Stegostoma tigrinum: one gene and its partners. The main gene of each other region encodes a partner of the protein of the gene in region 3 in a complex. Links are inferred from orthologs where the notes say so. Each region holds a gene or a part of one and is shown on either strand. Other genes may lie near its edges.

The links. The genes of interacting proteins can lie anywhere in the genome.
Region 1: ppil2 (region 3) and armc7 share a complex: the UniProt entries of both Homo sapiens proteins name them as parts of the minor spliceosome. The link is inferred for Stegostoma tigrinum from reciprocal best matches to the Homo sapiens genes PPIL2 and ARMC7.
Region 2: ppil2 (region 3) and snw1 share a complex: the UniProt entries of both Homo sapiens proteins name them as parts of the minor spliceosome. The link is inferred for Stegostoma tigrinum from reciprocal best matches to the Homo sapiens genes PPIL2 and SNW1.

Annotation. Positions count from the first base shown.
Region 1 is NC_081370.1:17,573,576-17,577,327, forward strand, and holds the start of armc7 (armadillo repeat-containing protein 7), read left to right. Parts: upstream 1-1,168; 5' UTR 1,169-1,275; intron 1,276-3,752. UniProt on the Homo sapiens protein: As a component of the minor spliceosome, involved in the splicing of U12-type introns in pre-mRNAs.
Region 2 is NC_081363.1:13,496,109-13,499,860, forward strand, and holds the start of snw1 (SNW domain-containing protein 1), read left to right. Parts: upstream 1-1,496; 5' UTR 1,497-1,593; coding exon 1,594-1,607; intron 1,608-3,752. Other genes in the region: adck1 (aarF domain-containing protein kinase 1), read right to left, coding at 1,054-1,066. UniProt on the Homo sapiens protein: Involved in pre-mRNA splicing as component of the spliceosome. As a component of the minor spliceosome, involved in the splicing of U12-type introns in pre-mRNAs.
Region 3 is NC_081379.1:43,745,239-43,748,990, reverse strand, and holds the start of ppil2 (RING-type E3 ubiquitin-protein ligase PPIL2), read right to left. Parts: upstream 2,234-3,752; 5' UTR 2,150-2,233; coding exon 2,118-2,149; intron 1-2,117. UniProt on the Homo sapiens protein: Has a ubiquitin-protein ligase activity acting as an E3 ubiquitin protein ligase or as an ubiquitin-ubiquitin ligase promoting elongation of ubiquitin chains on substrates.

The DNA of each region.
Region 1 (3,752 bases), on a different chromosome or scaffold from region 3:
GTATGAATGGTCTTCAGAGATAATCGGAACTGCAGATGCTGGAAAATCCAAGATAACAAAGTGTGAAGCTGGATGATCACAGCAGGCCAAGCAGCAAGTCAGGAGCACAAAAGCTGATGTTTCGGGCCTAGACCCTTCATCAGAGAGAATGGTCTTGCCCAGATACCAGTTCAATGGCATTCCTGATCATGGTGGTGGATTGCAAAGCAACACAACCTAATACAGAGCAATATATGGCACATCTGTCATGTGTGAAGAGAATGAAGATCACTCCAGTTTGATGGTTGCAGTGATTTTGAATACATCTTCATGACAACTTAATTTCCTATCTAGCTTGTCAGCAGACTTGGAAAGACTACAGGCAGCCAACACATGTTGAATCAATAACATGGATTATAGATCATGGAAGTCTAAACACTAATTCTTGCGTTGCAGGCGAATTAGACAGCCAACGTAAACGTTTTATTTTATTTTGATAATTTACTAATGGATGAATGTACTGTACTCAAACACAAACAATAGTGAACACTTTCAGAAGAGAACAGGAAGTCAGGAGGTAACCAGCCAAAACAAGTTCATGACCTCCGCATGAACAGTACCCATTCAAACGTTTCACGCACATAGTTATGAAACATTTGACTCAGACTGATTTGCAAAGTACTAAGATCGTGTGTTAAATTACATGATAGATGTGCCATACATCGGTCTGTACTGGCTTCTGTAACTTTGCAATATACCAGCATGCTTTTTGAAAGTATCGTGTAGTTGTCAGTCGTGACTTGACAGTCACTCTCCTCTATGTCACAGGGCTGCCATTCTGGGTCTAAAATTTACGCCGATCCTCCAGTATAATGCTGAGGTTTGCTGTACTTTCAGTACTGTTCTGATTTTAAAACCAAGATCGTGTCTGCTCTCTCAGATGCCCCTAAAAGATCTCATTTCACCATTTCAGAGAGGTGTCCCTTAATCATTAGAGATATTAATTGTCTGTTCATTATCGCATGATTGGTTCTGGAACATGTTGTGCTCAAACTGATTGCTGTGTGAAACACTTCAAAATCACGTGAGATGTCCTGTGTCATGAAAGGCGCTGAATAAAAAAAGGAAACGATTGAAATGGCCTTTTAAATGGAAATGCATCCTCGCCGCCCGTCGGCGCTGCCGGGAAGACGAAGTGGTGTTGTGGGTCATATGCGCATGATCAGCGACGAATCTCGTAAAAGTACGGTTACGTTTTTTTACAACTTCCGTCGATGGGGATTTTGAGTTGATCAGGTTGTGTCCTTTATTTATTATGTTCTTGTGTGTTGATGCGGTTTTTTTTCGTTACACTGGTTCCGTGAATTTTATATTATTGAGAAGTTGATTTACGCCATTCACAATTTGACTGCTTTGCTAACGTTTCCGAGAAGATTAGTGTTGTTTCAAGTAATTAGTTAGATATCTAGTACCAGGATTTCAATCAAACCGGATTTAGTCATGAAATAGATTCAGAGATAGTAGGAACTGTTGATGCTAGAGAATCTGAGGTAACAATTTGTAGAGCTGGATGAACACAGCAGGCCAAGTAGCATCAGAGGAGCCGGAAGGCTGACATTTCGGGCCTTGAAAATGTCAGCCTTCCTGCCCCTCTGATGCTGCTTGGCCTGCTGTGTTCATCCAGCTCTACAAATTGTTTTCTTATTTACTCATGAAATAGTTCACTATCTAGGAACATTTTCCTGTATGGTAGGTTCTATACCAACTCAAACATTTCAAGTTCAAACATTAAGAGATAGCAAGAACTGCAAATGCTGGAGTCAGAGATAACAAAGTGTATAGCTGGAGGAACACAGCAGGTCAGAAAGCATCAGAGGAGTAGAAAAGTTGACATTTCAGGTCCAGATCGTCTTGGGGAAGGGAGCTCTGAAATAAATAGAGATGAGGGATGGGTTGTGGAAAGTGATAACAGGTAGGGAGCGGTGGGGATTGTTCGGTGAGGTGGGAGGGACAATAGGTGAGAGAGAAGATGGATGGGTTGTGTTTGAGGGAGAGAGGGTTGGGTATGGGATGATGCTGGGGGTGGGGAGATTTTAAAACTGGTGAATTCCATGTTCAGACCATTGGGATGTAGGCTCCCAAGGTGGCATATAAGGTGCTGCTGCTCCAGTTTGTGGGTGGTGTCATTTGAGACACTGGAGGAGGCCTAGGATGGACATGTCACCCAGGGAGTGGGAGTTAAAATGGTTTGTGATCAGAAGGTGTTGTCATTGCTTGTGTACAAAGCATAGATGCTTGATGGAAATGGTCTTTGAGTACGCCTGGTTTCACCAATGTAAAGAAAACCACATTGGGAGCAGCTTAGCATCAGTAGACTAAGCTGACTGATGTTCAGGTGAACCCCTATCTGATGTGGAAGGTTTGTTATGTGCCTGGAATTGGAGGTGAGGTGTAGGGGCATGTGTAGCACTTCCTGCGGTTGCAGAGAAAGTTGGTGGGGTTAGTGGGGAGTGAATGAGGGTGTTGCAGAGGGGGTGGTCCCTATGAAAGGCAGGTAGGGGTGGAGAGAGAAAAATCTCTTTGGTTTTGGGGTTGGATTGTAGGTGGCGGAAGTGGTGGATAATGATATGTTGGATGTGGAGGCTAGTAGGGTGATATGAGGACAGTGGGGATTCTGTCTTTATTTTTGTTGCGGGAAGGGAATGTGAGGGCAGAAGTGCAGGAAACACAAGACAGGCAGTTGAGGTCATTTTCGATCACTGGAAGAGGGGTGGGGAATGTTATGGTCCTTGAAATAGGAGGACATCTGGGATATGCGGGAGTGGAATGGCCTGTCTTGGGAACGGGAGTGGAGGTGGAGGAATTGGGATCACACTCTCTTGCAGGAAGGTGGGTAAGAGGAGTTGTAGTTCATGTAGCTGTGGAAGTTGGCGAGCTTGAAAAAGATGTTATTTTCGAGGCAGTCACCAGAGATGGAGATAGAGGTGCCCAGGAAAGAGAGGGAGGTATTGGAGATGGTCTAGGTGAATTTGAGGTTGGGGTGAAAGGTGGTAGTAAAGTTGAACTGTTCAAGCTCCTCTTGGAAACCTGAGGCAGCGCCAATACAGTCTTCAATAGAGTGGAGGAAGAGGTGGGTGACAGTGCCAGTGTAACAGCAGAAGAGGGGCTGTTCTACATCTCCTATGAAGAGACAGGCGTAGCTTGGGCCCCTGCACGTGCCCATGGCCACACTTTTTGTCTGTAGTAAGTGGGAGGAATTAAAGGAGAAGTTGTTAAGGGTAAGGATGAATTCAGTTAAGTGAATGAGGGTGTTTGCGGAGGGGGATTGGTTGGACCTGTGGGAGGGGAAGAATCAGAGGGCTTTTAGACCATCTGTGTGGGGTTACAAGTGTGCAGGGATTGGATGTCCATAGTGAAAATGAAGTCTTGGAGGAGGTGGAAGGCATGGATGGTATCTAGGGCATAGCTGGGAAGTTCCCTAACTGGGGGGGGGAGACAATCATGACAGTAAGTAGAGATAAGTGAGGCTGTAGCAGGAGCAGGCAGTTGGGCAGTCAGGTTTGTGAATTTTGGGAAGGAGATGGAAATGGGCAGTGTGGGGTTGGGGAATGATGAGGTTGGTGGCTATAGGTGGGAGGTCACCTGAGGTGATGAGGTTATGAATGGTTTTAGAGATGATGGTTTGGTGGTCAGGGGTGGGGTTATGATCGAGGAGGCAGTAAGAGGAAGTGTCAGAAAGTTGGCGCCAGGCTTTGGCTATGTAAAGTCTCCCT
Region 2 (3,752 bases), on a different chromosome or scaffold from region 3:
CAGCGACAGTGAAGGAATGGCGATATATTTCCAAGTCAGAATGATGAGTAGCTTGGAGGGGGACTTGCAGGTGGAAGTGTTCCCATGCATCTGCTCCCCTTATCCTTCTAGATGGAAATAAGTATGGGCTTGGAAGGCACTGTCTAAAGATCTTTGTAGACCTTCTGTAGTGCATCCTGTAGATGATACACATGGCTGCTACTGAGTGGATGCTTGTGGGTGTGGTGCCAATCAAGCAGGCAAGCCTGTCCTGGATGGTGTCAAGCTTCTTGGTGTTACTGGAGCCGTACCACCCAGGCAAGTGGGTGTATTCCATCACACTCCTAGCTTGGGCCTTGTAAATGGCAGACATGCTTTGGGGAGTATGGAAATGAATTACTTGCAACAGTATTCTCAGCAAGTTTTCAGGTTAGTAATAAGGCCAACATCAATAGGAATCGTGAGAATAGTGCTGTACAGATTGTGGAATTAAGCAGGAAGTACGTTTACAACTTTTGCAGCTGCCAGTTAGACATTAGTACAATACAACCAACGCTGATACCACAGTTATGCAACTTTGCATGCGCATTTTGACACATTACATTAACTATTTCCAAACTTTATATCATTACCTGCATGGTTTTATGGAAAATTTACGCTTTCTTAGTCTCCCTGAACTGCTGTGATCTATACAGAACTGACCTTTCACTCACTTATGCAATTGAGAGTAATCAGTTTCCACGCATCCAGCTCGCAGTGTTATTTAATCAAACACATATCTGTCAGTCACAAACAGAAACAGAAAGTAGCGGTGAAACTCGGATGGTCTGGCAGCATCAATGGAAACTAAAACAAAAAGACCTTTCTTCAGAACTGATGACTCAGAACTCCAGACCTGCTGAGTTTCTCCAGCAATTTCTGTTTGTTTCAGCCCTGCAGTAACCGCAGTTCGTTGTTGTATATATTTGTCAGTTGCCTGTTCAAAAGCTACAAATATGATTCATTTATAGTCAGAGCCTAGCATTATATTTCCTGGCGATCACGTTAGCTACGTCTCGCCTGACATGCACTTACCGCCGACTGTCATCACTCACCTTCGCCCTCTGACACTCGAATACCCAACCCCTATCCCGTGCAGATAATGGAGTATCCCACTCGCGCATGGTGCACCGGGATTTGTAGTTATTTGTGCCGGGGAGTTCCGTTTGTTTCTAAAAGACTCTCACCGCGGAGAAAAACTACAACATGTCTACCACCACGGTCAAACGATGAAATGCCGGGCCAGCTTTACACATTTTAGTTCGCTCGACTGGATGAGCATGCAAAGGATGAAATAAACAAGTATCTTTTATGATAAAACAAACGTTAATCAAAAAAGGTCATGACGGCGACTAAAACCCACTAAAGGCTGTGAGGTTAAAGCCTGTAACAAGGATGGAAGAACCGTGGGTGGGCAGACGTCGAGGGACGCAGGCGGGTCGCGTAACAACGCCAGAAGCAGTGTCTTCAAAGGCAGGCCGGTAGATATGCGATGACATCAGACGCAAACGTTGCAAGGGTGAGTGACGTGACGTCAGACGCACGGTGGCGTTGACAGCAACTTTTGTAGAGAAAATGGCGCTGACGAGGTAGGTGCTTCTCTATGTTTGTGTTGGATAGTTTTAATTCCGTGGATATTCGGCCCCAAAACGTTTTCTTTCTTTTCCCTCTCATCTTGTTATAAACCGCGATTGCAGACGGATCTGTGCTTCCAGAATTTCCCTGGCGTCCAATAAAGCCCTTTTCGTAATTCCCCGACTAGGCCCAACAAAGCCTTGCTTTTACCTTTTGCGAATTCCTGGCTTGAAGAAATAAGCAGCATTGGGAGGAAAGTAGTTGAAAATATCATATTTGAAGTTACTTTTGTTCTTTGTATGATAGGACAGCATCAAAATTTAATGTGAAAGTGTTATTCAGTGCCTCGATTGATGAATGTTGGAGATTGGCTTGCTAAAGGTTTTTGTTGTGTTGTAATTTAGTCGCTTTAATACTTAGCAATTCTACACGTATGCATTATTTGTTTTTATACAAATGTTTTACTGGCTTATTCTTTATGTTTTGTTGTAAGATGAACCAATTATGAGATGTGTGATGTCTATAGTGTTACCACATAGTTGCTGCCATGGTAACAACCATCACCCAAACCAAAAAGTTAAATTTTTGTAGGTAATAAAAAAGAAATGCCAGAAAAGGTTATAGGGGAGTGAGATGAATTCAGTAGCTTTCATAGAGTTGGCAAATGCGTGATAGACTCACATTTAGTTTGAGTAAATGTGGTTCAAATACACAATCAACAGCAGACAGTGTTTCTTTTCTGATGAAGGGTCTAGGTCTGAAACGTCAGCTTTTGTGCTCCTAAGATGCTGCTTGGCCTGCTGTGCTCATCTAGCCCCACACTTTATCAGTGAACATAGTGTGTTTGAATTTCAATTTAAGTTTGAGAGTGAGAAATTTGAGTCCCACATCAGTGTTATGATGTAATTACATAGGCATTAGGACAGTTTTGGCCTAAATGTATTAGCCAAAAAGGCAAATAGGTGGGACAGTTGATGAGCAACGGCAGACATTGAAGGAGATGTTCAGTTTCTCCAAACTAAAATATAATCCAGTGAGGAAGAAATAATTTAAGTGGTGGGAGGTGAGAAGCATTTATAGGTAAGCAAGGACGTTAAAGAAATCATAAAGGCAAAAACTAAGGCTCACAGTATTGCAGAGGTAAGTGTCTAGTAGAGAATTGGATAACTTTTAAAGAGTATCAAAGGATTAGTAAAAAAGTAATAAAAAGAGCAAAGTCAAATTATGAAAGAAAACTAGCACAAAATATAAATAGTGGAGAGCAAAGCTGTTTAAAAGTATATAAAAACTAAAGTGAGTTGTTAAAGTGAATGTTGGTCACTTAAGAGGTCGAGATTGAGAAGTTTATAATGGGGTAACACAAAAATGGCAGTGGCACTAAATCAATATTTTACCTCAGTTTCATTGTAGAGGATACTGAAACCATCCTAATAGTAACAAATGAACAGATTATAGGAAAGGAGAAACTCAACATTCCTGTTCACTAGAGAAAGAGTACTGAGCAAACTATTGGGATTTAATGCAAACAAGTCTATAGGGCCCAATAGCCTATATCATAGGATCTTCGAGGGAGTGGTAGCCACAATAGTGGATGCGTTGGTTATAATATTCCAAAATTCCATGGATTCTGGAAAGTTCCACAGGATTGAAAAATTCGAATGTAATACCCTTTAGCAAAAAAGCGAGACAGAAAGTAGAGAATTATTGATCAGTTAGTTTGATATCTGTCATAAAGTTGATGGAATCCAATATTAATGAAGTAGTAACAGGACATTTGGAAAGTCAAAACCCAATCCATCTGAATCTAAATGGTTATATGAAAGTCAAATCATATTTAACCAATTTGCCAGACTTCTTTGAAGATGTAACCAGCAAAGTGGATAATGGGAGTCCATAGATGTAATTCTGAATTTCCAGACGGCAGTTGATAGGGTGACACAGTGGTTCAGTGGTTAGCACCACTCCTTCATGCCCCAGGAACCCAGTTTCAATTCTACCCTCAAGTGACTGTGTGGAATCTGCACATTCAGATGGCATGTTGGCTCAGTGATCAGTACTGCTGCCTTAGAGTGCCAGGGACCCAGGTTCGATTCCAACCTCTGGAAACTGTCTATGTGGAGTTTGCATGTTCTTCCCATTTCTGGATGGGTTTTCTTCGG
Region 3 (3,752 bases):
AATATAGTTAATTTAAATGCATCCTAGTTAAAACCATACTTTCCAGAAAGGAGAGTAACCGAACTGAATTGAGTCAAGGGGACAGCTGGAACAAGACTTACTCCCAGACAGCACACACACTCTGTCCCTCCCCAACAACATAACTGACAACCCCACAACCCAGTCACCTCTTCAGGACAGTATCCACAATGTTTAACAGCCAGAGTTCCAGTTCCAAAGCAGAGCTCAGGCAAGTTGAATCCCACCGTGATTAATTTTGGAACTGAAAAAAAGTACTGCAGACTTTACTGATTTTGTACTGCAAAACATTCCTTGATGATAGCTTGTCAGGCACACTTCTCACTCTGCATCACCTGTTCATGTCAGAAAATTCTATTCTGATTTCATTTTGTTGGTAAATACAGAATATCACAGTTTCTATGAAATGTCAATGTAAATTATACCTTACAAACAAAGAAGCTGATTTCTTTCGTTGGTGACTAATGAAACACTAGCTGCTGGCATAGAAAAGGATCCTCTGAAAATCTGCAGTCAACGGCAATCAGGGAAAAATTCTCCATTGCTCACAGTCGTACCTCAATCAAGGCAACATTGTTGTGGTTGTTGGAAATCAATCATTTCAGTCCCGAAAAATCACTGCAGGGAGTGCATATTTAATTTCCTGAATGCAATCATGTTCAGATGCTTCAATGACCTTCCTTCTACCATAATATCAAAAGGGGGAACGTTCACTGATGATTGCACAAAACTGAGCACCATTCACAAACCTTCAGATATTGAAGCAGTCAATCCATATGAAGCAAATCTGGACTAAATCCAGTACTGTCATGATAAGCTACAAAAAAATCACATCTCTCAATGACCAGGCAATTGTCTCTCTCCCCAGAGCCTGTGCGTTATTTACAAGATAGAGATCAAGAATGTGATGGAATATGCTCCACTTACTGGATGAGTGCGGCTCCAGCAGCACTCATGAAGCTTAATGCCAGACAAAACAAAGCATCCCATTGACCAATACCTTCTCTAATACCATCAACATTCACTCCCTTCAACACTGATGTACAATAGCAGCAGTATGCCATCTACAAGATGCACTAATAACAACTCACCAAGGTTCTTTAGACAGCACCTTCTAAATCCCCGACCCTTACCACCTAGGAGAACAAATACGTGGGAACATCAACACTTACAAGTCTCCTTTCAATCCATACACCATTCTGAACTGGAATTATATCTCCAGTCCTTCACTTTTGTTTGGTCAAAATTCTGGAACTCCCTTTCTAACAGCACAGTAGGCACACCTAACCTCAATGGACTCCAGCAGTTCAAGAAGGTGCCCTTTCAAAAGACCAATCAGGGAATGGACATAATTGCTGGCCCAGTCAGTGATGCCAACATCACATGAACAAATAAAAATAAACTTGTCAAAATGCAAGCTGTGGATCCTTTTGCATGGAACTGACAGCAATATCTGAGTTAATTTTAGGTATGCAACTGTCATTTCCAGATACTTGAGATTAATGGTGTTTCCAATCCCTCAAGTGGTGTCATTGCCTTACATTCTGTTACTCCACATATAAACCCTGTGAATATCTGCAGGATCACTGAAATAATGTACACAGAGGTGAGGGGCTGCAATGTAGAAAGAATTGCTCCCTTCCGAAGAAGACAGGGGAAAGAAAAACACAAATAGGAACTGCTGCACAAGTCTGCAGCATACAATGCCACCTAATTTAATGCTTCAAGCACTGATTAGCAAGACTAAAGAGGCAGTACAAAAAGACCAAATGATGAATCAAAACCGTAGCAACTGAGGAGTATTTTAAAGAAGAATACAGAGGTAATTCCAGAGCTCAGGGTTTAGCAGACCGAAGAAGAGTCATTAATGGAGAAGCAATTTAATATCAGGGATGCACAAGAGCACAGAATATTGGCGATGTGGGGAGATAACAGAGATGGGGAGGGGAAGGATCTGAAAAGGGTGAGAATTTTAAAATTAAAGAGGGTCATGTACTCAGGCCGAGTCGCAGTGAACTAAATGGGCTGCTTGAGCGTCACAGGGAGGGCAAAGGGCGATGGGGCCGCTCTCCCAACAGCAAGAAGAGCTCGAGGCTCACATTTTATCTTTCTGGTGCTGCCTCTTCCCCATGGTGTCGGATCAGCCGCCGCTACCTCAAACCTCCGCTCCCAACACAACCTCCCTCAGGCCGCCGGAACTGCGCTCACTTCCGGACAGACCGGTTCGCCTGTAACAAAGGGCCGGGCAAACCCGGAGCGCTGGAGGGAATGTTCCGCCCCGACTGACGTCTGGAAAGTTAACAAGGACCCAGTGCGAAATGCAGAAAGGAGGTCAAGCAGCATCATCTGCTTGGCCTGCTGTGTTCATCCAGCTCCACACTTTGTTATCTTGGATTCTCCAGCATCTGCAGTTCCCATTATCACTGCAGAAAGGAGGTGTCCTGCTGTTTGGGTCCACTGCATCATCTGCTCAGTCATTTTGAATGGCTCGATTTTATGGTCAATATACGGTTTTCCAAAAGTTTGCAGGATAACTATGGATTTATTTGCTCCATTGTGACGGCAACATAGATAGTCTAAATTAACCTGATGGGGTATGTTGTGGTATACCTTTGGCAGTAGGGTGAGACTTGAACCCAGCTTCTCCAGTTTGGAGATGAGGACACTGCCACTGAGCCGTACGAGCCAGCACATCACTGCATGGATTGCAGTGATTCAAGAAAGCAGCTCAACACCATTTGTTCAAGAGACTATGAGGCTTGGACAATAATGCTGGCTCAGCCAGTTGCGCCCACACCATCTGAATTAATGAAATACGTCTATGTATACAGAGGTTAACAATGAAAGGTAGAGACTTAGTGGCATGATGTAAAGACAACAATTTCTCCATCAAGTATAGTAGGAACCACAGATGCTGGAGAATCTGAGATAAAAAGGTGTAGAGCTGGATGAACACAGCGGGCCAAGCCGCATCAGAGGAGCAGGAAAGCTGACATTTGGGGCCTAGACCCTTCTCAGAAATTTTCGTCAGCTTGCCTGCTGTGTTCATCCAGTTCTACAACTTGTTATCTCAATCTCTCCATCAATATCAGTAACAAGCAGGAGCTGGTTATCAACTTCCAACAAGCAGAGTGAAGGACATGCAGCTGTCTGTATCAATGGTGCTGAGCTGGAGACAGTTAAGAGCTTCAACTTCCTATGAGTAAAGATCATCAACAATCTGTCCTGGTCCATCCGCGTCAATGGTCTGATTGAAAAAAAGCATACCAACACTTCTTACATCTTCAGAAGGCTAAGGACATTCAGCATGCAGCACAGAAAGTATCCTATCCAGATGCATCCCACTCCCTCGAGAAAGGAGCCAACATAATCAAAGACCCCTCCCACTCCACTCATGCTCTCTTCCATTCTCTTCCATTAGGCAGAAGTTGCAGAAGTATGAAAACACGTACCAATTAATTCAAGAACATCTTCTTCCCTGCTGTTATCAGACTTTTGATTGGACCTCTCAAATATTAAAGTTAATCCTTCACTGCACCTTCTCTGTAGCTGTAACACTATATTCTGCATTCTGTTTCACACCCTGTTATACTTATGTAAGTTATGATTTGCTTGGATAGCACACAAAACAGTATTTCAGTACATGTGAAAATAATAAATCAAATTTAATAGAATAAACCAATAAATTGACAGTGGAAAACATTTAACCATGAAATTCAAAATAATTGTTCTGC